4 linked regions of the Rhinolophus ferrumequinum genome follow. The protein of the gene in region 1 interacts with the protein of each later gene in a biochemical or structural test. Links are inferred from orthologs where the notes say so. Each region holds a gene or a part of one and is shown in the gene's direction. Other genes may lie near its edges. The genes, in order: BIRC2, RAC1, RIPK1 and E2F1.

Region 1 (7,798 bases):
TGCACTTTCATAAGGCTTTGGAATAATTCTACTACAGATTCAACTGGTCAGTCTCTCCCATGATTGCTTTTTGGAAAACCACAGGAAAATCCTTTCCTGGATCTGCATCAACTTTTTGGATCCTAAAAGTCTTTTATCTTTCCCTCCCTTGACAGGAAATATATATGGAAAGAACAAGGTACTCTATGCCTTGTGTTTGCCAGCATGAATTCTTGTGACTATTTGTCTCCAATAATAATGTCTTTTCTTTTATTATGAGTTTGAGGAGTTGGGGGCCAATTAAAGAAAAGAGCACAAGGTGGTAGTAGCACACTACCAAGCTTTATTTTGATGGTGCTAGACCGTCTCATGCAAGGGTTATTCCCTCAGAGCAGGAGGACTTCCAGAGACAGAGGTGTGGGAACACCACGAAGGGAAAGAGGGCAAGAGAATTCTTAGGCAAGAGGAGAACCAGAAAGAAGGCTTACATCACATATAGTCTAGGTGACTGCTGTTGCACAACAGTCCCTGAGTCAGGATAAGAGCAGCTGCAGGTCTTTTATAGCCTGAGCGTTTGTCTTTAGCTAGTGGACACTGGGTATGCAGAGCAGGCAGACTCAAAATGGATTAAAATGTGATTATTTGGGATACATTAAGTTATTAGATGTGTAAAAATTTGAGTTTGGCACAAGGAAGTTTTTGAGCTAATGGTCCCAGTCTGCTGTGAGAAGTAAAAAGTATGAGGTCAATATACACGGGCCATCTTTAACCCATTTATCATCGTAACCTGTATCATCCTAACTTTTAACACATTGATTTTTGAATTTAGAACTGCCAAGATTCTAATTTACATTAAATGATTAATGTTCACTAATTAAACTTTTAATTATTTCTGATACAGACTTTAAAAGCTGTCATGAACATTCAGATTCTTTACAACATAGCTGTAGAAGTCTTTTCCGTACTTATCTTGGTCATGTCCTCAGTATGTAAGATAAATTAAACCAAGTGAGCTTTCAGATTATTTGTAGTTCCAAAGCCTTAATGAAAAGATTTTATGGAAAAAAAGAAAAGTCCTAAGACAGCTTCAGTAGTACCTCGGTTTTTGAACGTCTCCATTGACGAATATTTTGGTTTACGAACGCCGTAAACCCAGAAATAAATGCTTCCGTTTTTGAGCACACCTTGGAAGTCGAACATGTCATCCGTTTTTGAGCACACCTTGGAAGTCGAACATGTCACAAACAGTTTTTTGGAACAGATTATGTTTGAAAACCGAGGTACCACTGTATACATATATAAAGTGATTTTTTTTTTCAACAGATGGAAAGGTAATGCTTGTAAATAAGTAACTACAAGCTGGGGAAGGAAGTTGTGATGTGGCCATAATTTCAAAGCTTTTTTTTTTTTTTTTTTAAGATTTTATTAGGGAAGGGGAACAGGACTTTATTGGAGAACAGTTTGTACTTCCAGGACCAAGTTGTCCTTTCAGTCTTAGTTGTGGAGGGCGCAGCTCAGCCTCAGGCCCAGTTGCCATTGCTAGTTGCAGGGTTGCGTAGCCCACCATCCCTTGCGGGATTCAAGGAATCGAACCGGCAACCTTGTGGTTGAGAGCCCGCCCTCCAACCAACTGAGCCATCCAGGAGGCAGCTCAGCTCAAGGTGCCGTGTTCAATCTTAGTTGCAGGGGGCGGAGCCCACCATCCCTTGCGGGACTCGAGGAGTTGAACTGGCAACCTTGTGGTTGAGGGCCCACTGGCCCATGTGGGAACCGAGCTGGCAGCCTTCGGAGTTAGGAGCATGGAGCTCCAACCACCTGAGCCACCGGGCCGGCCCCCAAATTTTTAATGTGTTGGGTTCTGTTTATTTTTTTAAAAGAAATACTTCAAAAATTTAGGAAAATATACATTTCATCTTTGTAATGAGGGGTACCAGAACATGCCACCATAAAATGTGCCTGTTTGGCATATGGATTATTTTGAGCTAAAGGCCATTGAGAACCAGCATGAAAAGATCTAAATACAAGGTAAAAGTTTTCCTTTTCTAAAGGAAATTTACATTTATACAGTACTTTTCCTGGTCATTTTCCTAAGGCCCCAAACCTCCTTTGTTGGTATTTAAACCCAAGTTCTAACCACCTGTTTCAGTTACTCCTTCACTGAGGATTCTCATCTATACTTGTGTGATGCACATGCTAATAAACTTGTTTTTCTCTTGCTAATCTATCTTTGGCCAGTCTAATTTACAGAACCCCAGCTGGAGAACCTAAGATGGGCAAAAGAAGAGATTTTTTCCTTCCTTACAGTACCATGTTTCCCGAAAATAAGACCTAGCCGGACAATCAGCTCTAATGCATCTTTTGGAGCAAAAATTAATATAAGACCGGGTCTTATATAAGACCCGGTCTTATTTTATAGTAAAATAAGACCAGGTATTATGTTATGTTGTTATATTATGTTATGAGACCGGGTCTTATATTATAGTAAAATAAGACCAGATCTTATATTAATTTTTGCTCCAAAAGACACATTAGAGCTGACTGTCCGGCTAGGTCTTATTTTCAGGGAAACACGGTATATACTGATGTGGGGAAGAAAAATAATTTTCCCTCTACCCTACTGAGTTCTTGGCTGAGACCCCTGTAATAAAAGATCAGCAAAAGAAAAAAAAGTTTAACATGTATACCTCACATATACATGGGAGATACCCAGGGAAAAATGAGTAAACTCCCTGACGTGGACTAAACCACAGGCTTAAATACCATCTTCAGCTAAAGACAAAAGAAATAAGGGTATGGGAGGCCAGTTCTGGGGAGGCTACCAGGAAAAGCACAGTTAACAGAGGTAAAGTTTGTTATACAGATTTAAGTCAGTGCCTTCTCCATTTGCCACCTCCTCACCCCATCTTTGATCTGCCTAGCTCAGTCTTAGCAAGAATCCTGCTAAGTCAGGTTAGTGAAAATTCCCCTACCATTGATATCTGACCAAATTCCTTAACCTTCACCTTTGATGTATTATTAAGCCCTTGGCCTATCCTCAGCAAGAATCTCCCTGCCCTTGATGTCTCCACTAACTAATTTTACATCTGCTGACTCTTTCATTCTGCTAGTTGGCTATAAATCCTCAGCTGTCTGCTGTATTCAGAGTTGAGCCTGTTCTCTCTTCAGTATTGCAATGCTCTTAGGACAATATGCATGAATAAAGTCTCAACTTGTTGCTCCTTACTTGCTGACATTTTAACAAGCATCAGAATAATTTTTTAACAATACCACATATCAATTCTAACGATTTCATATTTAATTTTTAAAAATAAAATATATGCAATTGATTCATATGAAAATATTTTCAATGTTGTTCATAATAGAGCAAATAAATTAAAATTATACTGAAATACTATTTATCTAATAGACTGGCAAAAATCTTAAAGTTTGATAACATACTCCCCTGGAATTTGTTATCAAATTGTGCAGTTAATGGAATTTACATATATTGCTGGCTGGATTGCAAAATGCTAACTCCCATGAGGGGGGAGGGATATTTGGTCATATCTAGCAAAATTACTATGAATTTACCATTTGATCTAACAATCCAACTTCTGGGAATATATCCTAAAATAAAATGTGTGTCCATGACTATTCATTACAGTACTATTTGTAACAGCAAAAGATTGGAAACCACTCAGATGTCTATCAATTAGGGAAATAGTTGAATACATTATGGTACTAGTTGAATATATTTTACGGTACATTTACACAAAGCAAAACCATATTATCCAGCTCTGTCCATGGATTAGGTTATAAAAACAATATAACTCAATAACAACTAGCACCACAAACATTCAAATTGTGGTCTTTAAATACCATTTCCCACTAAAGGAACCAAGCCATGAGGTAAGAAATGTACAAAACCAGTCTGAAAAACAATCAAAGACTACTAGGGCCATGTCAAAAGGACTCAGGAGCCAATGTGAATGAGCTCATATTGGCCTAAGATTAATAAAAAACACGAGCACCAATAATGACAACAACTGCAATGGATTACAACTCACAAAATACATTTAAGTCACCAGATTCATAATGAAAGCTGTTCACTTTTATTTATCCACCAGGAATGTTTTTAATAGTTTAGGTCAAGATCTAACTTTTCCATTAGAATAACCATTCATTCAGGATTATTAACTAGTTCATCTTTTTCTCACTAATATGTAATACCAATGTCATATATCAAAGTTATATACATATGAATATTATATATATAAAATTATATATATATAAAATATTTTATATATATAATATATATATAAAATTGTGTGGGGGGGTGGCTCCTTATCTTGTTCCGTTGTTTATTTTTACATTCTTGTGCTAATACAATACTGTCTTAATTACTTTATTTAGTTGCTTTATTATACAACTTGTTATCTGGTGGACAAGTCCCTTCAGTCTTTTCTTCTTTAAAATTGTCTTGGCTCCTGTAAATATTTTTTGTACATAAATGTGGAAAGTCTTAGGATGGCAACCTCAGCAGACATATACCTTAGTTTTAAAAATCACCGGCAACTCTACACTGAAAATATGAAAAAGATTAACTGAGTAAATTTAACATCACACTGCAAGGTTATACAAGATTAAAATCATATAGCAGGATTTATTATACCTGAACGTTATTACATACATATTTGGGAAAAATATCTAGGGCTTTTGAGTTTTTGAAATTCGAATTTTCCGCTATACTGAAGTATATTCATTATCTTACTTTTTGGTCTGGACAAGAACTGAAATAATCTCGAATTCGGAATGAACAATTCTTGCTATATATATTTTCCCATACATAAGGAAGATTCTGTAACTTTCCGAGAAATACTGATTTGAACTAAATACTAAACTACTACCAAACTCTTCTTGTGCATATTTGAAAGTTTTTAGTCATTGGGAGCCATGACATTTCTTTTCTCTGTATCATAAACTGTTATGAATACTTTCTTTTTACTATTAACATTGCAACAGAAGACCTCCTGTTTCGTGATTGACTGGCAGGCAGAAATGACAGGGACAGGAAATGGGAAATGGTTCAGGGTCTTGGAATTCCCCAGATGCCTAATTAAGTGGCTTGTTATTTGGAAGTTTTTGAAATGTTTGCCCACTGGAGTTCCCCCCGAGGAAAAGCATCTGATTTTATTGACAAAGAGTGTCTTCACAGAACATAAATTAAGAAATTCGCTCCTGCAATACAACAAACATTTACTGCACGCCACTGCTTTTGTGATACTAGGTGTGGGAGAAGACAAACCTCCATGACTAGTGACATCAAGATTTCTTATTTGCAATCCTCTATCAATTATTCACTGAACCATTTAAGACTTCATCGATAAGTCGGCTCCTTTGTGGTTCACGTACGATTTTATATATAAACACATATATGAACGTATACATTCTATTTGAGTCACATTCAGAAAAATGTGACTTCATTGGGAGTGAAGACTGGTCTGAAATACCGTCCACGTTGCTAGCGATGAGCTTTTGAAATAAGGACACTTTTTCGTTAGTGCATATGTCTCCAGAACAGAAAAACAAAGTTGAAAAACAAGTTTAAAAACGAAAGCTACATTGGTTGGTTATAGATTCATAATACAATCCCTAAAGATTATAAAATCAGAACTTCAAAATTAATCTTCTGATGCTGTTCTACTTTCCACCACTTGGCTTTTTTCCAGTTCCACCGCCAGCTGTGAATGTTTATGTTAGGCAGCTGTGTTCTGAGGAAAAACGGTTACAACTGTTTTAAACGGTTACAACTGTTTACTTAATTGAAGCAAAAATGCCACGAGGTTGACTCCATCCTCAAATGCAGTCATCTACGACGAGTGGAGGAGTCACACGAGAGGAATTTGGCCAGGAGTTGGATCAAATAACTCAGAGCGGAACGCGGAGAAGATGCGCAAAACCACCGGCCCACGGGTGTTTCCGCAGGGCTTCCCAAGAGTCAAACTCTTCGGCTCACGGTTTGCCACGTTCCCCTCGGGAGAATGTTAGGGACAGAAAGAGAAGGAAACGCCAAAAGTCCTCAAACCGCGAGATTAAAACTCGAAACACCGAGCTGACGGAAACCGTCTGCGCCCCTCCCGAAAACCGTAGACTCCCCGGCGCCCTCGCGCGGCGGTGACGCAGGCCCCGGATAAGCGCGCTGACGTCACCGTGCGTCGGCATGGGCCTGGCGTGGGCTGCGGACTTTGGAAGCGTTGACCCGGAGCCAGCCGGGGCGCATCTCTTGTCCGCGCCGTTGCTCTCGGGTGTGTGGAGCCCTCCAGGCGACCGCGCCGTTTCCGTGTGTGCTGCGCCTGCTCTGAGGTGAGTGCTTCTTCCGGGCCCCGGGCGCGCGAGCCGGTGGGGGCCCGCGGGGCCGCTTCCTTTCCCAGAAGCTGTGGCGGGCGGAGGACAGACAGGGCCTCGGGCAGTGCGGCCGGGGGATTCGAGGGTCGCGGTGAGCTGCTGCTCTCGCGTAGGCTTTTCTTCAATACGCAAGTTCCACTCCAAGATACGTAATCGAAAATAATTTTTAAAAATTGACCTGTTTGCGTGCCTGCTGGGCCGCCGCCCAGTTTTCCGGCCCTTGGACTTTGACCAAGATGCTTTCTCTTAGTGTTTGCAGGGTTTTCAGTTTAGCCTTGGGTATTCCTTTAATTTGTTGAATCAAAGACTGTGTTGTGTCTCATACCGTGTTTCCCAGAAAATAAGACCTAGCCGGACCATCAGCTCTAATGCGTCTTTTGGAGCAAAAATTAGTATAAGACCCGGTATTATATTAGGCCCGGTATTATATTTATTATATATTATATTATCATAAATACCTGGTCTTGTAGTAAAATAAGACGAGGGCTTATATTAATTTTTGCTCCAAAAGCCGCATTAGAGCCGATGGGCCGGCTAGGTTTTATTTTCGGGGAAACACGGTATTTAAGATAGTTTCAAGTAGTCTATTGTGTGGTGTGAGAAATAACTCCAGGAAATTAATGGGTAAATCCTAATTGTTGCTCTCCTTTGCCCTTCCAGTATGTCCCCCGCATCCAGCTACTGTTTGCATACAGAGAGTAAAAATCCACAGAACAGTGCTTGTAGACAAAAAAAAAATATATCATTTAAAGATATGTTGTCAAGTCTGGGTGTACCGAAAGCATTCGTGCAAGTGGTCACATTCCCACGGCCATTGGACTAACGTTTTGTTTTTGAGGTGCTTTCTGTGGTTGCTTTGGAATTGGGAGGGAATTGTAGAGTTGAAGAATTTATTTATGCTAATGAGTTCCTGATGCATTTTACTCTTACTGGTCTCCTTGCCTAGTACTGGAGAGACTTGACATTAAAAAATAATGTTACTGTCTAATTACTGCTGGACTGTTGCTGATAGGATGTTGTGTCCTTCACCACTGTCCCCTTTTGCCTCTAGCAAACCGCCAGAGATTTATCCTTAATATTAAAAGTTGTCACCAGAAAAGGGGAAGAGACCAAGGACAAGATATTTTCCTATGAGGAAATGTCTATCTGTCTTCAAAGTTGTATGTTTAAAAAATAACATATATATACATATATATGTGTGTATATACACACACACACACACACACACACACACACAGTGCTAAGGGGTATATTGCATTTATTTTCATTAAAAGCTTTTCCAATTAGAATGTTTTGGTGACAAATTGCTGGAATTAAGATGTATTATTGAAAGTGTAAGTCATTTTTAGACTTTACTGAATAAATCGAAGTCTATAAATTCTATTTACAATGAAAATACAGTTTTCTAAAATAGTTTTTTTTTCTTCCAGATTTA
Region 2 (7,568 bases), on another chromosome or scaffold:
AATTCTTGGTTGAAAACCATTTTTCTTCAGAATCTTAAAGGCAATGTTCCACCAGTGTAACTGTTGGGAAACCTGAAACCATTCTATTTCCTGTTTCCTTATGACTTGTGTTTTCTCTTTGGGAGCTTGTAGGATCTTCTCTCTTCCCATTGCTCTGCAGTTGCACAGTGGTGTACTTAGGGGTGGGTCTATTTTCCTTCACTGGGCTGGCACTTTCCCTTCAGGACTGGGAAATTTCCTTGAGTATATCCATGGATGTTTTCCTCCTTTGCTTTTTCTTTCTTTTTGTTCTTCCTTTTCTATTATAGGATATTATTAGGATGATTGGGCCTCCCAGGCTGCTTCCTTAATGCTCTCATTGTTTTCTATTTTCTATCTCTCCATGGCTTTTTTGTCTTCTGAGATTTCTTCAATTTGATGTTTCAAACCCTCTGTGGTTTTTCCTGCTAGCATGCTTTTCCGAGTTGTTCTTTTTTTAAAAAATCATCTGAACTTTTTAAAAAATTTTAAAAACCAGCGCTCCCTTCTTATTCATGGATGAATTATCTTATCTGAAGATATTAATAGCCTTAAAAAAAAAAATTTGGGGGCCGTCCCAGTGGCTCAGGTGGTTGGAGCTCTGTGCTCCTAACTCCAAAGGCTGCCGGTTCGATTCTCACATGGGCCAGTGGGCTCTCAACCACAGGGTTGCCAGTTCAATTCCTCGAGTCCCGCAAGGGATGGTGGGCCGTGCCCCCTGCAACTAGAAAACGGCAACTGGACCTGGAGCTGAGCTGCACCCTCCACGACTAAGACTGAAAGGACAACAACTTGAAGCTGAACGGCACCCTCTACAAGTAAGATTGAAAGGACAACTTGACTTGGAAAAAAGGCCTGGAAGTACACACTGTTCCCAATAAAGTCCTGTTCCCCTTCCCCAATAAAAAAATCTAAAAAAAAAAAATAATAAAGTTTCCTTCTCCCTGCCCTGTTTTTTTTTCCCCTCAACTTTATTTATTTTGAGTTCTAGCTTCCAGTCTGCAAGTTTCCCTCATATATCTTTTAATCCATGGTTGTCTGTTGCTGATCAGAAGTGGGAAACTAAGAGTTAATGGGACACTCTGAAGGAGTGGGGGCTCCCTGGAGACCCCTTCCCATGTTGGGGTCTGCCTTCCAGTCTGTACCCTCCTTCTCTAAATGGCTTCAGGAGCCATGAAGGAAGGGGATCGAGAGGTTCCAGATTCAGCCCAGCCTCCTAAATCCCTTTGTTTTGTTTTCCAGGCCCTGTGTCTCCCCCTCCAAATACTCTCTGATTTACCTTCTCTAGAGAGGAACCTCTAGTATTTTGTAAGGGAGGAGGAAGGAGGCCACCTTGCCTGTACATGATAAGAAGCCATGTAGACTGCCTGCGGCTGCTTCTTAGCTTTCGTCCCATTTTCCTCACCCCACTCTCCCGTCACCCCCACTTCCACAGGTACCGGGTGCCACAGGTACCCAGAGAAGCCCTTTGGTGATTCTCTGGTGAAGGACTGGTGTTGATCAGCCTTTCCCACTGCTAGTCCAGATGGCTAAATCAGTTTCAACCAGTCTGTCCCCTCTTTCCAGCTTCCAGTATCTATTTTTTCTATACTTTCTGTTCTAGGATTATGTTTGTTTTGTTTTGTTTTGTTTTATATCCCTTTCCTGACGTTCTAGTGGTGATTTGGGTGCAAGTGAAATAAGATACTTGCATGTAATGCATCATGTTAACTTGGAAATGAATACTATATGTTCACTTACCTATGAAGCATCTCCCCAGCTAGAAGGCAGACTCCCTGATGGCAGGGAACTCTTGTTCATTTCACACTTCCAACACCTAGACAGTGACTGGAACGGAAAAAAATGATTGACCTTGAATAAGGGAACTAAGTAGGCTATATGATTGCATATAAAAGAGGCACTTGAGAAATAACTATGTAGCATATTCAGAAACACACATGGTCTAATATTTGCTTATTTAGTTTTAACTTTAACTTTTTTGGACCATTGGTCACCATGGATAACATTACAATAAACACTCAAAGCCAAACTTGGGAAAGTTTTAAGTTAACTAAGTTTTAGCTTAAAGCTAATTTTCACATGTGGATTGTACATTCGCTTTATTTTATAGTCACAGTCCAACGTCTAATATGGTGGACTTTCACTTTATCAATCTATGGAAATAATCATCTGAATGTGGTTGTGTCATGTATTGGCTGAACAATTCATGTCCTGTCATAATAAAGGCCATACTCACAGGCTGTCTGCAATCCAGCCTCTGATTACTCTAGATTCTAGACCTGGGACAGCCAAGTGTTTAGTTCCCTCTGTGTCCCATCTGAAGACAGTCCTCAGCTTTTAACTTCCAGGATTTCGCTCTCTCTGTGGAAAACTCTTTTCTTCTTACTCCATCAAGACCCACCAAAAATCCTCCACAGACCCATCTTTCAAGTCTCATCTCTTTGATGAAAGCCTTATTAGAGTGAACACAGTTTTGGCTTCCTGATAAACACCGTATTTGTACCCCACATATAGTACTGAGCACAGTGGGCTTGCTATTCTAGCAACTATGTCCTTATCTGGTTCATTTACTGTCAGGCCATAATGCAACCGCAGCATGCAAATGTTTGTACAATTGAATTAAACTATTGACCTGAGGCCTACCCTTTTATTTGCCTCTGGTCCAAAGACATGAAGGTAATTACACTTAGTTTAGGTTTGTCATAGATTCACAGGAAATTTTTATCAGCCAAGGGGACACTGTTGCACTTGAAATTTCAACTCCTTTTTAAGGGAGTTGTGAACTTTATGAACAGAGTAAAAAGGAGATGCCCTTTGCCCTGGGAACACGTTTCTTTTGAAATAATTGCAAGACAAAAAACAAAAAAAAAAGGAACTGTTAAAAAAAATTTGTGTAGAAAAAGCCTGATTTCATAAAACTGTTACAATACAGAGCAACAGAGTGAATTATACAAAGAGAAGGCCTAAAAGATGAAAATATCAGTGGAAAGCAACTCCCCTGGATGGTCCACTCTCACAGAGGGTTGAGGGGAGTGTGAAGCTTGCAGGGGGGGGGGCGGGAGGGCGGGGGGGGGGCAATGTAACAACAGTACCAAAGCTTTAAAAACACTCACCCTCTATTAAGCCAGTAACTCCGTTTTTGGGAACGTGGTTTAAAGAAATGAAGCTATAAAGATCGTTGCACAAACATGTTCATCCCAGCATTGTTTGTCAAATGGGGACAACTCAACCCTCGGATAATAGAGGAATCCTTAAATTATGGTACATGTACATAATGGAATGACTAGTAAGCAGCCATTAAAAATGTTCTAATGATTCAGTATGACTTCACAATGCTGTTTAAAACATGTTCATTATGCATATAAAGAAACAACTGAGCAGAAATACACCAAAACATTGGCACTTGAATGGTCTGCTAACTGAACATTATCTCCAGAACTTGGTATTAAGTGATGAGAAAAATTCTGCGATGCTACAAATTAAATTATAACCGGCTGGAAAGTGAGCAAAAGAGAACAGTTAGCTTGTTAGTAGCTGGGGGCCAGCTAACAAGACTGCTCACATTCCTTAGTGTATGTTGGAACTTTTAAGTTCCAGGTGGCTATTTCCACAATTATCTAAAAGACATAATAGCCAGGTGCCATCAAACCGTCCACTTCTTGTTTAAGTATGAACTTTCTAGACTGTTGCCCACCACTAATCCAAAGAAGCAAATGCTTCTTCCTTATGGATTCAGTGCCTACCCTAGAGCTAGCTCTGCAGCACCTTCTCCCACCAGCTTTATCTGTAGCCAGTGTAAATTCTTTCAAAACAACCTACATCTTTCTTCCCCAAACTGTTTCCCTAAAAAAGCCGGTTGACACCATGTTGCCTTCTCCACCTGGCGCGGCTGCTGGTGGTTTAGAATATATGCCCCGGGCCCTGGTCATCTTTTTTTCTAGCTAGCAATGACCCAATAAACCCTTTCTTTTAAAATGACTTTCAGCCGTGGAAGTTAAAATTTCTGTTCAACGAAAGCATAGGATATAGTAAGTGCTCAACGCATTAAAAATAATAGAAAATGCATACGCAACGGAAGAAAATTCAGCACATTTGGGGCTTAATATACCTCGGTTGTGTCTGAATAATGGTACGGCCTATGGTCTTTATAGTTTTGGGTTCCGAATTTTCTAGAAGTGCCTGTCATCACATAAGTTACGGTCATCACACAGGATGGACAGACAGACCAACGCCCTTCTGCGGGCCTCGGGCAGGAGCAGGATGGGGCGCCGAGAACGTGGCCCCTGGGACTCAGGGCTCCTCGGACCCAGCGCCCCTCCCCAGGCCGACGCCCGCAGGCCACGACCGCACCGCGCCGTCTGCGCGCAAACATGGCGCCTCGCTCGCCTCGCCGGAGCCGAGCGCTCCCGAGCGTCCCCGAAGCCGGGAGGAGCCGGTGAGCGCGCCGGCAGGAGCGCCCCGCCCCGAGCTTGGGAGCCGCGGCGCGGGCGCGGGGGAGGGGCGGCCGGATGTGAGTGGAGCGGCCATTTCCTGTTTCTCTGCAGTTTTCCCCAGCTTTGGGTGGTGGCCGCTGCTGGGCTTCGGCTTCCCGTTGGCGGAGGGCGAGGCGGCGTGGACAGCGGCCCCGGCACCCCGCGCCCTGCCGCCCGCAGCCGCGCGCCCGCCCGCCTGCCGCGCCCCGCGCCCGCCGCTTCTCGTCTCAGCGCCCGGCCGCCGCCTCCGCGGCCCAGCGAGCGGCCCAGATGCAGGCCATCAAGTGTGTGGTGGTGGGAGACGGGTGAGTGCGCGGCCCGGGGGCGGGGGCCGGGGCCGCACGGTTCTGGGGGCGCAGCGGGGGCCGGGCGGGCGGGCGCGCGCGGGGCCTGGGCCTCTCCGGGCCGTGGGCGGGGGGCGCGAGCCGCCAGCCCTCCCTGGGACCCCGCGGCGCGCGCCGGGTTCTGGCTTTTTCTCTCCCTTTTTGGTGGGGGAGGGAATCGCCGACGGCGGCCGGAGGGAAAAGTGAACTCCACCCTCCGCTTTCTCCCCGCGCCCGCTGACCGCGGGGCCGAACTTACCTGGCGCCGCGCCGCCAGCCTCCTTCGTTTGCCTGTGGATTACGTGGGCTTAGAGAGTTGCCTTTCTCTTAAAAGGACCTTTTCTTGGCTTAGATTTAACCTCTCGAGCCCCATCGGGAGCTTCCGTGCGTCCCGGCGCTCAGGTCGGTCGTCAGTGACCAGAATTGGCCTGAGCTGCTTTGGGGACCCTACGCTGGTTTGCCAGGGGGGATCTTCCACTTGGTACTTCGCCACTTTTCGGATTTTTTAAATGATTATTTTTGCTCTTTCCGTGGAGAAAGTTTTAAGGTTCTAGCTGCGAGGAGCTGGGTGTGATTGAGACGGTTCTTTCCTCCGAGCGTGGTGTGGTCCTTAAAAAAAAATTGGCCTTCGCTTCTTGCGTTAGGTATGGGATGTAGCAGAACAGGCTCCCTGAGCCGAGCGGCCCTGTGACTCAAGGCGTTTCTTTTCATTACTGTCTGTGGTGGTTACAGGCCCTAGAGGAAGACAAAACTTGTCTTATGCAGTTGTTTTTCTCCCATAGAAACAATCTCATTGTAATCCGAGCAAAATTGTGTCTCAGCATTGCTCGAGTAGTTAAGCGTAAACAGGGAAGCTCCAAGAATTACTACCAGTTTCGTCCAAGTCAGAGTGCAACTGGTACATTTTTGGAGTCGGGTGAAGTCGGACGAAGAGTTCTGGCATCACTGTGCCTTTTGATTAATATTCCCCAGTCGTGTCGTTAGGACTGGTGTAGCTTTTATACCTCTCAGTGAGTTTATGAATTCTCAGCTTATGTCGGTCATTGCAAAGTAAGACATTTGAAATTGTTTCTGGAAGAAAAAAAAAGTCACTACTGATAATTCAGTATCTAGCCACAGTAATATTCTTATTTGAAAATTTCTAAAACTAAAACATAAGCATAGCAGATATATTTAGTTCATAACCTACGGAGTGGACCTCTACTGTTCCGATTGGCTTATCTAGTCAAATACTTGTTGAATGCCTGCTATGGGATCTGGATGGTTCCTTCAGACCCACACCCCACCACTTCTGGGGAAACCCTGAGCATATCACTCATCCCCCAGGAGAGGTGTGGCAAAGGGAAGTGGTGACGATTCAGCTGGAAGTGAAGTGCCTCACCGTGCGGGCCCCTGCTGAACGCTTTATACGCGCCAGCGGCGTGTTATTAGGACTGCTGTCTGTGTTACTCTGAGGCGCTGCTAGGCTCTGGAAAGGGAGTATTAGGCAGAAAATAGTTTCTGGACTTGAGTTTTTTGAATTTTGTAACACTGTGTTTGACATTGATGTTGACTAGGGCTGAGCGATATTAGTGAAATGTACCTTTACAAAAAAAGTTTCAGCTGTATTATTTAAAATAAGGGACAATAGGTAGCAAACATTACTTCAGTGCAAAACTTAGATACCTAGTTTTACATACGAAAAATATTTTTCTGCTTTTACCCAAATAAAATAAATTCCTGGTGATACAGTTAGAATGTTCTTTTATTCAAAAATTGTTGGGGCTGGCCTGGTGGCTCAGGCGGTTGGAGCTCCATGCTCCTAATGCTAAAGGCTGCCGGTTCGATTCCCACATGGGCCAGTGGGCTCTCAACCACAAGGTTGTCAGTTCTGAGCTGTTGCTGTGAGCTCCCGAATGGCTCAGTTGGTTGGAGCGCATCCTCTCAACCACAAGGTTGCCGGTTCGACTCCTGCAAGGGATGGTGGGCTGTGCCCCCTGCAACTAGCAGCGGCAACTGGACCAGGAGCTGAGCTGCGCCCTCCACAACTAAGACTGAAAGGACAACAACTTGACTTGGAAAAAATCCTGGAAGTACACACTGTTCCCCAATAAAATCCTGTTCCCCTTCCCCAATAAAATCTAAAAAAAAAAAAAAATTTGTTAAAGCTGTTAACTGTGGACCTAAATTTTGTGGGGCTGAGAAATCAGTTAATGTTGTGTGGACTTTCAGGCCGTTAAGGGCAGGTTAAGCAGTGAAGGCAAAATAACCGAGGTTCCACAAATTGGAAGCTTCCTTTGAAAATATTCTTGGGAATTATGGTTAAAGGCTATGTCATGTTATAATTAGGGTCAATTAGCCTATATTCTTCTAATGGATATTTCCTATGTGGCAGTTTGGCATTGAGTGTAAAATATGACATAAATTTGGTACTTTTTAATTCTAAGACAGTCGATCCTAAACACAGGGTCTGTCACTTTTATTTGGGTGACCTCTGCCCCGAGATTTTCTCTCAACTTCACTTAGGTAAGACAGCATCTCACATTCAAATATTGATAAAGAACCATTTTTAATAGTGTTGTTTTGGCTTTGGTTTATTAGAAGGCTGGGAGTGAATGACTTGAAGCCCTCATTTCTCTCACTATAGAAACTGGTGTCCAGATGGGGCTAGTGGTCCCTTTAGCCTTTAGGACAGATATTGCTGTCCAGGAATTTCTTTCCTTGAGCAAGGTAAATGGCCTTCCATGATGTCATCTTTATAGGAGTGTGTGTCCAC
Region 3 (7,268 bases), on another chromosome or scaffold:
CCTCTGCTGTTTTTTTGTTTTTCTAAGAGCTCTTTCATACAGAGTTGATATCTTGTAGGTCTTTCCATTTAATCCACTGTTATTATTCTGGAACCCCTTTGATGTAGTGGTAATTTGTGAAGGAGGGAAAGCATTTTATAATCTTATGATTAAATCTCAGCCTTTCCATTTTAAGTGGACTGATTTTCCTTCTCCCAGATAGATAACACTCTGGTAAAGTTTTTTCCCTGGGAGAGCAAGTCTTTGATATGTTGAACTCTTGGGATGTATTTCAAAATGGTTTCTTCCCCCCTCCCACTTCCAAAAACATGAGAAGATTTTCACTGGTTCTTTACCTTGAGAATTTGGTGGGATTTCTGATGGTAAAATCCATGAAAGTGTATCCATCCCTGCCCCCAAGTCTGAGCCCTTAATAGTTTCTCACTCTCAAGCTAATCAACTCATTCCCCAGAAATTTACCAAAATTACCATTTAATTGTTTTACCAGTTCATTGTCCCAGCAGTTTCTGCTCCAGATATGGTGATATTAGTTGTGATTGCCCATATTGATCTGTCTACAGATTTCAAGGTAGACGTTTGCACTTTGACTTCAATTCTCTGTTGAGTCTAAACAGAGATTGGTTGATTTTCAGTTTGTTTACCTTTTTTCTTGTTGTAATTATAGGAGCAATAACTTCCATTTTGTTTACATATGGAATTGAAACTGGATGTGCCAATCAAGTTTTAGCAGAGGTGAAAAGGCAATTCAAAGGATAATCTTTACAAGAAACTGTTAGAACAATTGGATTATCTGTATTAATAAAAAAAAAAACTTGATCTAAATTAAACATCATGCTTTATACAAAAATTGCCTCAAAATAAGTCATACTTCTAAATGTAAAAAATAAAGCTATAAAATTTCTAGAAGAAAATATAGGAATAAACTTTATGACCTGGGCTGAGATAAAGAGTTTTTAGACATGACATCAAAAAAAAAAAATCTATAAAAGAAAAAAAAATTGATTTGAGGAGCATTAACATCTTAACATTGAGTCTTCCAGTCCAGAAAGAGGGAAAATCTGTTTATTTATTTAGGTCTTTTTTCACGTCTCTTGGCAGTATTTTGTTCTTTTTTTAGAGGTCCTACATATTTTTTACTGTATTAGTTGCAATGTTAATGCTATTGTAAATGCTGATGCTCTTCTAACTTCATCTTGTATTGCTTCTCGCTAGAAACAGAAATACAAATGATTTTTAATATCTATCTTGAATCCAATGACCTTACTAAAGTCACTTATTAATTTTAGGTTTGTTTTAAATTCCTTTGAATAGTCTACACACATAATTATGTCCTCTGAAAATAATGACAATTTTATTTTTTCCGTTTCAATATTTTTATGTTTTGATTTTCTTTTCTTGTTGCAATGGCCAGAGCTCCTGGTACAATTTTGAAGAGAAGTAATGATAGTGGACTTTCTTGTCTTGCTCCTAATTGCAAAGGTAAGTGCTTAGTATTTCATGGTTAAGTATAATGTTATCTATAGGTTAGTGTAAATATTCTTTATTTAATTAAGAAAATTCTATTCTTAGTTGTCTAAGAGTTTCTATCATGAACAAGTCTTGAATTTTTATCCATGCTTTTTCTCGAGTAGGTTATATGATGTTTTTTCTTCTGTAATGTGGTGAATTACTTTGATTTTCAAATGTTAAACTAACATTGCATGTATGGAATAAACCCTAGTTGGTCATGATGTATTATCCTGTTAGAGAGTCACTAGATTCAACTTGATAATATCTAATTTAGGATTGTTTGCCTCCATGTTAATGGGATATATTAAACTATAATTATCTTTTCTGGTGCTGTCCTTGTCAAATTTGGCTACCAAAGTTAAGGTGGTCATATTAAAAGCTTTTAGGAAGTTTTCTCTTTTTCTCTTGTCTAGAATAGTTTATGTAGGATTTGCATTATTTCATCTTTAAGAATAGTTTATGTAGTATTTATTACCAAGGAAGTCATTTGGGTGTGGAGTTTTCTTTGATTTTTACTGATGCATTCAATACAGGACTATTTCAGTGTTCTATTTCTTCTTCAATCATTTTTGACAAGTTGTATTTTTCAAGAAATTTCTCTAGTCCCTCTACAGTGACATAAAAGTTCGTTATGTCACACTGTTGTCATTATAACATTAATGACATAAAATTGTTAATAATTATCCCTTATTTTTTAATCCTTTTAAATTTTGTATAATTTTTGTTTCATTCTTGATAATATTGGTCTCTCTCTTTGTCAACAGGGTCAATCTTGCTGGGGGGTTATCACTTTTAATCTTTACAAATGGCCAACTTTTGTTCTTGGTTAATTCCTCTGTTGTATGATTTCTATTTCAATGATTTATTTTCTTAGATTTATTAGAAACTTACGATATTTTTGTTGAGTTTAATTTCCTGTTTTTGCAACTTGAGATGAGCATCCAAATAATTGATTTTCAACCTATCTTATAATATATGCATTACAAGCCAGAAATATCACTCTAAGAATGAAGTTGGCTTTATCTTAAAAAAAGTCATCCACATATTTATTATCATTTAGTTAAAAATATTTTCTTGGGACCGGCCCGGTGGCTCAGGCGGTTGGAGCGCCGTGCTCCTAACGCTGAAGGCTGCTGGTTCGATTCCCACATGGGCCAGTGGGCTCTCAACCACAAGGTTGCCAGTTCGATTCCTCTACTCCCGCAAGGGATGGTGGGCTGCACCCCCTGCAACTAACAATGGCAACTGGACCTGGAGCTGAGCTGCGCCCTCCACAACTAAGACTGAAAGGACAACTTGACTTGGAAAAAAAGTCCTGGAAGTCTTGTATCTAGTACCTGCTTGGCATATGGTAGTCAGAAATGTCTGCTAAATGAATAGGCCTCTTTCATTGTATACGTGTAATTTTATTGTTTACAGCAGTTTTAGTTTCACAGCAAAACTGAGTGGAAAGAGCAGAGTGTTCACACATATTCTACCCTCTCCCCAAAACAAAACAAAAAACACAGCCTCTTCCACCATTTTGCACCAGTGTGGTACCTTTGTTACAATTAACCAACTGACACATCATTATCAAGCAAAGTCTATAGTTTACATTTGGTTTCACTCTTTTGTACATTCATGGGTTTAACAAATGTATACTGTATTCACCATTATAGTATCACACAGAATAATTTCACTGCCCTAAAAAATCCAGTGCTCGACCTATTCCTGCATCCCACCACAAAAACCTGAGAACCACAGATTTTTTTTCACTGGTTCCATAATTTTGTCTTCTCTAGAATGTCAGTTAGAATCATATATTATGTACCTTTTTTCAGATTGCCTTCCTTCACTTAGAAATAAGCATTTAAGATTCCTCCATGTCTTTTTGTGGTTTGATAGCACATTTCTTTTTAGCACTGAATAATATTCCATTGTATGGGTGGACCACAAGTTTTTTGCCCATTCATCCACTGAAGGATAATATTGGTTGCATTCAAGTTTTGCCAATTAGAAATAAAAGTGCTATAAACATTTGCATGCAGGTTTCTGTATAGATGTAAGCTTTCAACTCATTTGGTGAATATCAAGACATGTGGTTGCTGGATCATATGGTAGACTGTTTTTAGCTTAAAAAATAAAACTGTCAAACTTTCTTCCAAAGTGGCTGTACCAATTTGCATTCACACCAACAATGAATGAGAATTCCTATTGTTCCACATCCTCACCAACATTTGATGTTGTCAATATTTTGGATTTTAGTCATTCTAACAGGTGTGTAACGTGGTACCTATTATTTTTTCAAATTTGCAATTCAATAATGACCTATAATGGTGAGCATATTTTCATATGCTTACTTGCCATCTGTATTGTCATGTCTATTAGATCTTTTGCCCATTTTCTACTTGGGTTGTTTCTTTTCTTAATTGTTGAGTTGTTTTCAATATACAGTTGACCTTTGAACAAGAGTTGGGGGTGTGGGGCGCCCACAACCTATGCAGTCCAAAATCTGGGTATAACTTAAGTCTGCCTTCCAAACATGAAAATACAGTTGAAACTTGAACAAGGCAGGTTTGAACCGCGTGGGTCCACTTAAACACAGATTTTTAAAATACCCCTGTATGTGGACCCGCGCAGTACAAAACCGCTTTTTAAGGGTCAAATGTATTTTGAATAATAGTCCTTTATCAGATATGTCTTTTTCTTTATCAGATATATATTTTGCAAATATTTTCTTCCAGTTTGTGGCTTCTCATTCTCTTGATTATATAATATATAATCACGCTGTGTATTATTTGCTTTTTAATACAGAACTGTATCAAGCTTTTCCCATTTTTCTTGAAGATTTCCCAATCATTTCCCAGCCATTTTAAAGGGCTGGAAAATAATAGCACATTTCTCCCTGCACAGCCCCAAAGAGCAGATATTATTATCCCCCCTTTACATGTGAAGAGAGGTAAGAGAATCGTAAATTTGCCTGAGGTTCAAGCGCTGCTTAACCTGCAGAGCCCAGAAGTCCCTGGGAGACCTACCCAGTGCTGTTTACTCAGCTAAGCGGCCTCTCCCTCAAGGCGGAGGTTTCTAGGACTAGGCATCATTACCTTTTCTTTGGCCTTCCAACTCTTTCAAATAAGTAGAGCAGGGATTCTTTGGCTGACAGATCTTGGGGACCGACGCCCCCACGGCCGCAGGGCGGGCGCCCTCCCCATCCTCCTCCCCGGCAGGAGGCGGAGCGAGCAGTCCACGCCCCTCCGCCGCCGGCGCTTACTCATTCGTCGCTCTGACGGCGGGGACAGCGGACAGGCCTCCCCGAGCGCAGGGGTCCTGGCTGGCCCTCACCTCCAAGGGCCAACCGCGCGGTCCCAGCGAGGGGAGGGAGTGCGAACCACTCGGCTGGACGCGCGCGGCGCGGCGGGGCCGACAGAGCCGGGCGTGGTGAGCGCGCGGCGGGGCGGCCACTCTGCGTCCCGGTCTCCCCAAGCCCGCTGAGCTCTGTACCCGGTGACCCGCCCCGCAGGACTCGGGCGTCCTCCCGCGGCGCGCCCCAGCGAGGTGGCGGCGAAGTCGGTGTCATTCCTGAAATTCCTACCGCTGCTTCTTTCCTCACTCAGGCCTGGGGAAGTTTGCCGCGGAAACGAAAGTAAATAACTCGGGTGCGTCTGCGCGGTAGCAGTGGCAGCGCCCGCCAGATTTGGGACTCTGTCTGCTTCTGGGCAGGCGGGCGGGGCTTCCTGACGGGGCGGGCTGTGGGCGGAGAGTGGGCCAGTTGGGTAGTGGGTGGGGCGCTTGGCATTCCCGGAAGTTGGTCTGTGAGTAAAGCTGTTGTGGGGATTGACCCGGGAGAGCACTTTCCAGGCTCTGGGCCTCACGTGGAAAGGTGTTGTCTTGGTTAGTAGATGGCCATCAGCTGTAATCAGATGGCCATCTGCCTTGGCTAGGTGTCCATTAGTTGTTACTGGTTAGCCCTTAGTCGTTAATACTACTGCCGTGGCTATGCTGGCAAGGGGGTTGCTTGGCAGAGAAGTGGATGGCAGGTTGCCGCTAGCCAGTGTGGTTAGCAAGCGGACTGTGGATTGCGGATCCTGTTGATCCTACTTCCTGTGTCTCCCCTGGCCGCCAGGGAGACAGGATTGCAGGAAGACCCTCTCATTGGGGTACTGGTGGATGTTTGCTTTTGTGTCTCTGTCAGCCGCCAGCGAGAATATAGTGGTATGACTCCCCTATCTATGGCTCCGTGGGTGTTCTGTTTTGGCCTCACCGTATCCTGCGTTCTTGTGTGGGGAGCGGGACCAGAGTCCCTGCATTATACCTGTCGTATTCCCGGAAATCGGGTGGTGGATCCAATTTCCCCTGCACCTGTTCGGGAGGACGAGGTGAGCGGATGCCCCGCAGCAATCTGGGTCTTGTACTCAGTTTTAAAATCCCAGATATCTCTCAGCCAAAGGAGCCCATCTTTATTTTGTTTTAAAGGAAATTAGGAGGACAGAAGAAAAGAGGAAATGTTACCCAGTCCTAGAAACCTCCACCAGAGTTCCGGGAAATCAGGTGCAGAATTGTTAACTGTCCAGGTCTCTGTCGCTCTCAGGCTTGCGGGAGGTTTCGGTGTAAATCCGTACTAGAGTGGAGAGACCTGACCTCAGGTCACTAGAACCGTGTGACGTAGGAACACACCTTTCGTTGTTATTATCTTTGTTGTTTTGGTAGGGGTGATGGGTTTCCATTGCTGTAGCTTTCCGGTACAATCATGGATGCCCTTGCCATAATAGGGTAAGTAGATGTCTCTAGTTGGGACTTCTTACCAACCTTTTGAAAGTACATTTTACTGTTGCATTTGAGGCCGTAGCGGGTTGCAAACAGTGAAAAGCATTAATGCGTAATCTTAGACGTGAACTGGCAAATGGAAAAGAAGGGTCTACAGCCGCATTGACAAAAGGGACAAATGTCGTAACGCGTGGAGGCCTCTTCCGTGGTTAGTGGCGTTTGCTTTTATGAAATGCTGCAGAATCTTTTCAGGGTTTAGAAGAGGATTAGCTACATCCTTCTCTCTTAAGCACTTGACAAAAGCCCACAGGAGTGGGTGTGTGTTCATTTCTTTGTGTCTTGCTGATGTTTTGTCTCTTCCTTGCTCAGAACTCTTGTTTATCTTGGACAAAGCCTGAGGCTGTTAAAATCAACCAACTTTGCAGAAGTTTTTTGGTCTTTAAACCACTACTATTAATTCTTCCCTAATTTACACTTGAAGAAATCAAAGCTCAGAGTGAACTTTGGAATATAGAGTGACTTAGTACTTGATTTGCATCTTGTAATCACCAGGTTGGTACAGTAGTAACGAAGATATTATGGTCAATTAGAAATGTACACCTGAAGCTGAAGCTGAACAATATTGAATGTTGACTACAATTTTATATATATATATGTATATATATATATATATATATATATATATATATGGTTACAAGAAGTGGAGTACAGCATTAGGAATAGAGACAGTGGAGATGTAATGGCTGTGTGTGACGTCAGAGGGGTAGTAGATGGGGGAAGAGGGGTTGTCACTGTGTGAGGGACATAAATGATAAATGTCTAACTATTAGATTGTTTTGTGCACCTTAAAGTAATAAAAAAGATGTTAAAAAAAAGAAATGTAGAAAACTGCCTTTTTCTAAACAGAAAATGAAGACTAAACTTGCTTCAAACAGAATTTAGAACTTATTATTACTGATAAAACAGCAGTAACAATTACTTTAATTTTCATTTTCCTCTATCTGCACTATATTGAG
Region 4 (7,663 bases), on another chromosome or scaffold:
TGGGGGAAGGAATATTAAGTCCTATTTGCTTACATTGGACCTTTGACTCTCTGGCCCATATCCCGCTAAACATACTGACTGACTGATGGCCAAGTACTTGGCCAAGGCCACACAGCCAGGCAGCTGTTGGCTGGCACTACGCCCCATGTTTCCTGTTTCAGCATAAATGCCCACTTTTCCTACTCTTCCATATCCCCATCTTCTCTTTAGTTACTTGCAAAGCAGAGGAGCTGTGCTGGTGCCCATTGGTTCCTTTGCAGTAATATTACTAATAGTAGTTAATGTTTATTGAGCGTTTCTTTACTCTATGCAAGGCATAGGCATTAGAGATTGCAAACTCAGATACTTGGAATGGCAAAGCAAGTAAGGTCACCGGGTGAGGCAAGCCAGGCAGGACTATGGTGGCCTGGAGGGTCAAGGCTCTGGCGAAATGGGGCACAGCAACTGCTCAGCACCATGATGGTCTGGCTAGTACCGTTTCCCCCAAAATTAGATAATCAATTCTAATGTGTCTTTTGGAGCAAAAATTAACATAAGACCCGATCTTATTTTACTAGAAGACCGGGTATAATATAATATACACGGTCTTATAGTAAAATAAGACTCTCTGGCCCACATCCCGCTAAACATACTGACCGACTGACGGCCAAGCACTTGTATTATATTATAATATAAAACCGAGTCTTACATTAATTTTTGCTCCAAAAGACGCATTAGAGCAGATTGTTCAGCTAGGTCTTATTTTTGGGGAAATATGATATTGCCAGATGTTACGGTTTTAAAAGAAAGCCAGATATTTGAATTTTTGTATAGCATTTCTAAATTAAAAATTTTCTTAACTAATTCATAATTCAGAAAAAAATACTCCGTGGGCAAATTAAATCATACATGTTGGCCAGTTTGCGAACTCTGTTTGTCCTCTTTTCTCATTCAACCCTGAGACCCATCCTGTAAAGGAGCCTTTGCCCCTTGTTCTACGGATGGGGCAAGCAAAGCTCTTCAAGAGGGTAAATCACTTACTCAAAGTCATCTAGCCAAGCTACACAGTTGGGGTCTGCCTGACTCCCAAGGCTTACTCCTATGATAGACGGCCTATCAGATGGGTAAGTGGTCTGTGTTCAGATACAGCCAGAACTGGCATGGTGACAATATCTCCAGGGACAGTAAACCGTCAGTCAAGCAGAGAATTTAGTGTAGCAACGAAGGATCATTTGAGACAAATGTGATGTTGCAGACATAAAACTTCCTGAACTCAACAATGGATGTCTCTGTGCCCCTTAATAAAATTAAGTCACCGCAGAATTTCTCCCAATTATGCATTCATAATGATGGGATGTTCATGTTCGGAGATTGTTTTTCCCCTGAAGCTAAGAATGTATGTGGAATAAAGAGCTTTGAATTATTGTGTCATTTGTCAGACTTAACGAACATATTGCGCAGGTCCATAGAAATAATTCTGACTCTTCCACTGGACTATGAGCTCCAGGTATCAGAGATAAGTCTGTTTTGCTTCCAGCTGTCTCCCTAGCACCTAGTATAATGCCTCACACATAGGAGGTATTCAACAAATATCTGTGGAATGAATGAGGCTCAGAGGAAGTGAATTGACTTGTCCAAGGTCACACAGACCAAGGTTCCTATTTATATCCCCCTGATTTACAAGCACATACTATCACGTTTACACCATCCTGCCTCTTGGAAAGAATTAAGGGAAAGATATCTCCAGGCAAAGGATCATGGGCTCAGGAGCTTCCACCGCTTTGGACTCCTCTAAAGTAAGGAGTTGGTGTAGGTAGTAATGGGGGTAAACATCTACTAATTAAGCCAATATACATTATAATACCTTTTGGAAAGCACACATTATAATCTTGACAGCCCTGAGCCTCCTGAGCTTGGCTCTTGGGGTATTTACAGAAGGTGGTGGGGTATAAAGAGCAGGCCCTGGGTTTTGCAGCGGAACAGGCTAAGTTCCCATCTCACTTCTGCTGTGTGACCTTGAACTTCAAGTGCCCCTCTCTGAGCCTCCTTCCTGCACAACGTTGATAAACAAGCTTCACTTATGGGATTCTCAGGTTAAAAGGAGCTCATCAATCAAAGTGGCTGCCCAGTAAGTGTGGATTTTTTGAAAACCTACCAGCCTGAGGAGAACTTTTGACACAGAGAACAACGTTATCGAGATTGGCCAGGCTTGGGGCCAAGGGGCCCCATCAGTCAGGCCTTTGCTGCTTTCAAGTGGGTATTAATAAATACAGAAGGCCCTTATCTCTTCCTTGATTGCACACTCGGAATTCTGGTCTTCACTCCTTTCCGCTGAGCAGGACAGGAAGGATTGTGGGAAGGACGGCACCTGCTTCTACCTGGGAGGTTGTGTACTTGAATATTTTGGGGAGGACAGGACTTTGGAAAACCTCTGGCTTTGGCCTCTCCAAGCCCAAACAATAGCCTTTTCATCTGCTAGGTAAGCTCATGCCCTTTGGGCCTCAGTTTCCCCATCATTAAATTGATAAAAATAACAATGTCTTCCTTCTCCAGCAACCAGTATAGTGCTTGGCACGTGACAGGTGCTCAATAAATGTTCGTTGAATGGCTGTTGGGTATGAGAGTGCTTTATGAAGTGAATATTATTGTTATGGAGACTCTTTGGGAAGATGTAAAGAAAAGAAAGTCCATCTGGAACAGGAATGTTGCTGATTTCTCTCACCCTCTGTCAGGGTCTGGCTTGATTTTTTCAAATGAGACCTACCATTCTAATGGTAGCTTTTCTGTCTGGGGAGGAGAAGGGGGACAGGCTGACCCCAGGGCTGGTAATCCAGTGTAGGCCAAATTCTATCACTGGCTGGCTTACAGGTCCCTCATGGGCCTCAACTTTCCCATCTGTACAGCAAGAGGCTACTAGTCTCTGGTCCCTCCTAGTGCTGACAGTCTAGGATTTGCAGTGAGTAATTTCACAAACTGTTTAGGAAACTCCTGTGTTCCTGAACCACCTTATAGTTCATAAAACATTTTCAGATCCCTTATGCTTTTCATCCCTATCTCAGATGAGGAACTGAAGCTGAGAAGTGTCGTCAAGAGGCTGTAATTTGAGGCATCACCACACATTTTGGTTATACAGGTATACCAATTTGTTCTCAAATGTGAATGTGCATAAAAACCCCCTGGAATGGGGATGGAGGATTGCTTGTGAAAATGTGCACGTAGAGATACTAAATGGGCAGGGGGTGGGGTTAGGCCCAAAGTGAACAAGCACCCAGGTGAGTCTGAAACCAGGACCCTAAGACGGCTCTTGGAGAACCAGGGCCTCCTGTTGCATTCTAAATAGCCTCTGGCATCATCAGCCTGTTTCCTTTCTCATAACTCCTCTCAGCACCTGCTTCAGCTGTGCTCAGGCCCTGTTGGAGTTCCCAGTCTAGTAGGGGAGGCAGATGGAGAAACTGAGTGTGGTCAGTGCTGGAACAGAGGCAGCATCCAGCAATAGAGGAAGTAATTCTGGAGGGCTTTCTGGAGGAAGTGATGTTTATACTGGGCCTACCGCTTTGATTCTTGTTTGTGTCTTAGCTACTTTTTATGTGTGTGGCACATCCCCACCAGGTGGCAGGCAAGTTCATTAAAATTATCAAGTCTTACACATCTCTGCCTTCAGTGCTGGCACAAGGCCTGGCACAGAGGACAATATTGGTCAAATCAGCTGACCGGAGCAATGATATTGGCTGATGGAGAGATCCCAGGGACTATGAAATACATTTTCATGCTCAGCATCCTCACCTCTTCCCTTTGTGAGATTAACATGGAGTTATTTTAATGGTGGAAATCCTTCATCATATTGCAAACATGTGTTACCTCTCTGTTCCCTCTCCCTTGTTCACTAGACTATGAGCCCTTCAGGGTATGAACTAAGAATGAGGCACAGAGCAGGCTCTCAAAACGTTTGTTGAATGAGTGAATGCACGCTTGGGTGAATGAATGTATAATAATGAATGAATAATGAATGAATGAATGAGTTCAAGCAGAAGCTGTGCATTTGGCTACTAAGATGAAAGAGGGCTCGGAGGAAAACCTCAAGCTGTAATGGGCCAGACTTCCCTCCCCATTTCCTGAGAGGCCCCTTCTGCTTGGGTTCTGGGTGATAGGGCGGGCATAGGATTTGAAAGTAAATGATAAAAGTGGGGCAAGCTGACGATGGGAGATGTGGCTAGGGCTTTGGAAATGGGCCTGAGACCCTAGAAAAGAGGGTCAGTTTCTAGAGATCTGGGCTGAGGGCGTTGGGGCTACAGGTGTGTGGAGGGTGTCTGGGGGTCATGTAAGGTACGCTGACGGTGAGATGCGTACAATGGACATTCGGTACTAAAGATCTCCTAGAGAGATCAGCGGGTGGGGTGTGTCGAGGTGGGAGCGGGGGCCACCACGCCTCGCAAAGGGGCAGTCCCGCCTGGGGGCGGGGAGTGTGAACGCTCTTGGCACCGCCCCGACAAAGCCTGCGCGCGCCCCGACCCGCAATTGGCCGCGCTTACTCGCACCGACGCCCCATCCCGCCCTTCACTGCCGGTCCGGCACGCTGTACCCAATAGCCACTGTCGCCGTCGCCTCCGTCACAGACCGGACAGCCAATAGTGACAGCGCTCGGCGGCTCGTGGCTCTTTCGCGGCAAAAAGGATTTGGCGCGCAAAAGTGGCCGGGACTTTGCAGGCAGCGGCGGCCGGGGGCGGAGCGGGATCCGGAGCGGGATCAAGCCCTAGCCGCGGCCTGCCGCCATGGGCCCGCGCCGCCGCCGCCGCCTGCCACCCGGGCCGCCCGGGCCGTGAGCGCCATGGCCGTGGCCGGGGCCCCCGCGGGCGGCCCATGCGCGCCGGCGCTGGAGGCCCTGCTCGGGGCCGGCGCGCTGCGGCTGCTCGACTCCTCGCAGATCGTCATCATCTCCACGGCGCAGGACGCCAGCGCCCCACCGGCCCCCGCTGGCCCTGCAGCGCCCGCTGCGGGTCCCTGCGACCCCGACCTGCTGCTCTTCGCCACGCCGCAGGCGCCCCGGCCCACACCCAGCGCGCCGCGCCCCGCGCTCGGCCGTCCGCCGGTACGGACACCAGGGACACTGGGCCGAATGTGCTGCTTGGACCCCCATGCAGACCCGGGCGGGGCGCGGTTTTGGGATGGGAGGCAGCTGGGGCGGGGGAGGGGTGGGCTGAGGCGCCGGGGCTGGGCGGTGCCCAGACTGGGTTGGGTCTCCAGGCCCCTCCCCGGGGTGCGGAGTGACCTCGGGCCAGTCCCTGTTTGCTCCTCTGCTGTGGGCTTTAGCTTCCTCACGGGAGCCGGTCAGACGCAGTAATCATAATGGCCCACGTGTATTCAACTGGCGCTGCTTGCATGCCAGGCCTCTGGCCGACTTCAAGGCAGCTAAAACTCACAACCTTGCTGTGAGCTTGGTGTCACTGCCTATCTGAACCGAGGCCCAGAGAGGGGAGGTGACTTCCTCTTGGTCACACCTCTGCAGGTGGTGGGACTGGGGTTTTAACTGAGGCCTGCTGGCTTTACATCAGATCTTGTGGCTAGGTAATGGGTATGGCAGCTTGGGGAGATGAAGTGAGGCATCCTGGGGCCAGACTGCTGAAGAGCCGTTGAGGAGGCCCTTTTTCATATCTGGATGCTCCACTGCCAGGTGCAGCCCTGGGCCTCTGGGCCTCTGGGGACAGGCCTCCTGGCTGGGAGGTCTTCTCTGCAATGGCAGGGTGGCTGGGCCAGCTGCTGGTCCCCTCCCTCTGCCTGTCCTTCCATCTGCCACCCTCCACCCTCCCAGGCCCTGGTTGTCATGGAACCTCATTAATCAGGCTGGCAGACCCCTGGGCTCCGGTGGAGGTACTGGTGGGCTTGGCCTCTGGAAGCTGGAGAAGAGGTCTCCAGTTCCAGGGGAGAGTAAACATCCTGGGGAGATGTCTTGAGAAAGTGCTCCTTGAGCAAAAGAGGCTCAAGATCAGTTCAGATTTGGGGGTGCCAGAAGAGGTGGCTGAATTACATGGGGAGAAAGGATGGAGTTTGGACCTGTGGGCTGCAGGGCAGGGTGGGGAGACCAGTTTGACAGGCCTTTTCTGTGGGTGAACGTGGGGCACGGACAGGCAGGCTGGGGTCTCAGCAGGAGGCTTGGAACAAGTAGGAGAGGTGAGGCAGAGCCTAGGGCAAGGAGGTGGAAGCGGCCCAACTGCTGGTGGGGGCCTAGGTGGCAGCTGGTCCCTGAAGCATCCCTTAACTCCCTTGGCCCGGTGCCCAGTGCTTCCTCCCTTCCAGAATCACCAAGATGCTAATAATAATAACAACAATAGTAGCACCATTGTTTTGAGATGTTTTCTTTGTCAGGCTCTGTGCCAAGCATTTACCCAATTAACTCATTTAACCCTCTCAACAGCCTTCCCCTTTTATAGATGGGGAAGCTGAGGCCTAGAGATGTTGGAACCTTCCCTAGTCATTAGCTAGTGAGTGGTGGGACCAATAGACATTTTCTGAGCACCTAACTGTTGGGATGCCTTACTTCCTGGAGATGCTAAGAGAGGTTGAAGGAAGTCCAGGGGCCCTTCCTCCTAATCAGTGACGGAGGGGGTGGGAATTGTACCAGGGTCTGGTCCCTTGGCTTGTCTCGTATACCCCAGTGGCCTGACCCTGCGGCTACCATCTTGGGGTCTGAACAAATATCCTCCATTTAGCTGACTTGACATGTACTCAGCAGGCCCAAGGCTGGGTCCTGCCCTCAGGGAGCTGAACTCCAGGTTCAGAGGGACTGCCAAGGACTGGGTCGAGGAAGGATGCCCTCCACTCCACCCCGAGGGGTGTCCGGGGCAGCCTCAAAGGACCTGAGCACTCCACTCATTTAACAGTTGACTTAGTGAGTACCCACGAGGTAGTAGGCACAAAGGCAAGTAAGGGGCCTCTGCCTTCACAGTACTTAAGCACTAGTGGGCATTTTCTACAGGTGAGCAGGCAGGTGTGGGAGCTGGTACCATCCTGGAGCTGAAGTCCAGAAAAATGGGCCCAGATTTTCCCCTCCAGCAACCCCAATTCTTGTACCTGTGGGTAACCACTGGCCACATGAGCTATGGCCTTCACCTGTCCACAGGTGTTTGGGGCAGTCCCTGAAAAAAGCTATAGGCTCAGCTTCTGTACCAGTGAGCATTCATTGAGTACCTCCTGCATACAGGCTCTGCAATTCAGCCATTTCTCCTGGCCCTTCCTGTCTACCTCTACTCTATTGTTACGGCTACTAAAACAACAACAAAAAAAGTGTAATACATAATAACTATAAAAAGTAAATAGACTAGAAAGGTGAAGGGGGCAGGCTCCCAGTCCCACCCATTATTTCTGTTTTCCTAAAACCTATTTTTATTTTTAGGTGGTTATGGCTGGTTTTCTAAAATTTCAAAAATTGTACTTTTTCATTTATTTCCACGTTCAAACAGTACCATCCGCACGGTTCTCCCTTGCACACATAGATTACCTCTGAAATACATTCTATAATAATAGAAACTGAATCATAGGAAAAAAGGTTTTTGTGCTTTTTTTTAACCCAAAAGGTTTATATATGCATTGCCCTAAAACAACGTGGTTTTTGTCAATGTCTTTGAGAGGATTCTGTGTCGATTTGCTTCAGTCCTTGATAGTTGCATGGTCTTCCAGGGTCTGGATGAAC

What was found.
Region 2: the proteins of BIRC2 (region 1) and RAC1 form a complex in vitro, tested with the Homo sapiens proteins (2 studies listed by BioGRID and IntAct, with this or other methods). The link is inferred for Rhinolophus ferrumequinum from reciprocal best matches to the Homo sapiens genes BIRC2 and RAC1.
Region 3: of the proteins of BIRC2 (region 1) and RIPK1, one has a biochemical effect on the other in vitro, tested with the Homo sapiens proteins (6 studies listed by BioGRID, with this or other methods). The link is inferred for Rhinolophus ferrumequinum from reciprocal best matches to the Homo sapiens genes BIRC2 and RIPK1.
Region 4: the proteins of BIRC2 (region 1) and E2F1 form a complex in vitro, tested with the Homo sapiens proteins (2 studies listed by BioGRID, with this or other methods). The link is inferred for Rhinolophus ferrumequinum from reciprocal best matches to the Homo sapiens genes BIRC2 and E2F1.

The regions. Positions count from the first base shown.
Region 1 is NC_046294.1:71,879,799-71,887,596, forward strand, and holds the start of BIRC2 (baculoviral IAP repeat-containing protein 2), read left to right. Parts: upstream 1-4,795; 5' UTR 4,796-6,321; intron 6,322-7,793; 5' UTR 7,794-7,798. UniProt on the Homo sapiens protein: Multi-functional protein which regulates not only caspases and apoptosis, but also modulates inflammatory signaling and immunity, mitogenic kinase signaling, and cell proliferation, as well as cell invasion and metastasis.
Region 2 is NC_046307.1:41,100,429-41,107,996, forward strand, and holds the start of RAC1 (ras-related C3 botulinum toxin substrate 1), read left to right. Parts: upstream 1-4,563; 5' UTR 4,564-4,760; coding exon 4,761-4,795; intron 4,796-7,568. UniProt on the Homo sapiens protein: Plasma membrane-associated small GTPase which cycles between active GTP-bound and inactive GDP-bound states.
Region 3 is NC_046292.1:90,729,975-90,737,242, reverse strand, and holds the start of RIPK1 (receptor-interacting serine/threonine-protein kinase 1), read left to right. Parts: upstream 1-4,260; 5' UTR 4,261-5,131; exon of another isoform or gene 5,132-5,144; intron 5,145-5,336; exon of another isoform or gene 5,337-6,258; intron 6,259-7,268. UniProt on the Homo sapiens protein: Serine-threonine kinase which is a key regulator of TNF-mediated apoptosis, necroptosis and inflammatory pathways.
Region 4 is NC_046306.1:21,283,714-21,291,376, forward strand, and holds the start of E2F1 (transcription factor E2F1), read left to right. Parts: upstream 1-4,658; 5' UTR 4,659-4,804; coding exon 4,805-5,065; intron 5,066-7,663. UniProt on the Homo sapiens protein: Transcription activator that binds DNA cooperatively with DP proteins through the E2 recognition site, 5'-TTTC[CG]CGC-3' found in the promoter region of a number of genes whose products are involved in cell cycle regulation or in DNA replication.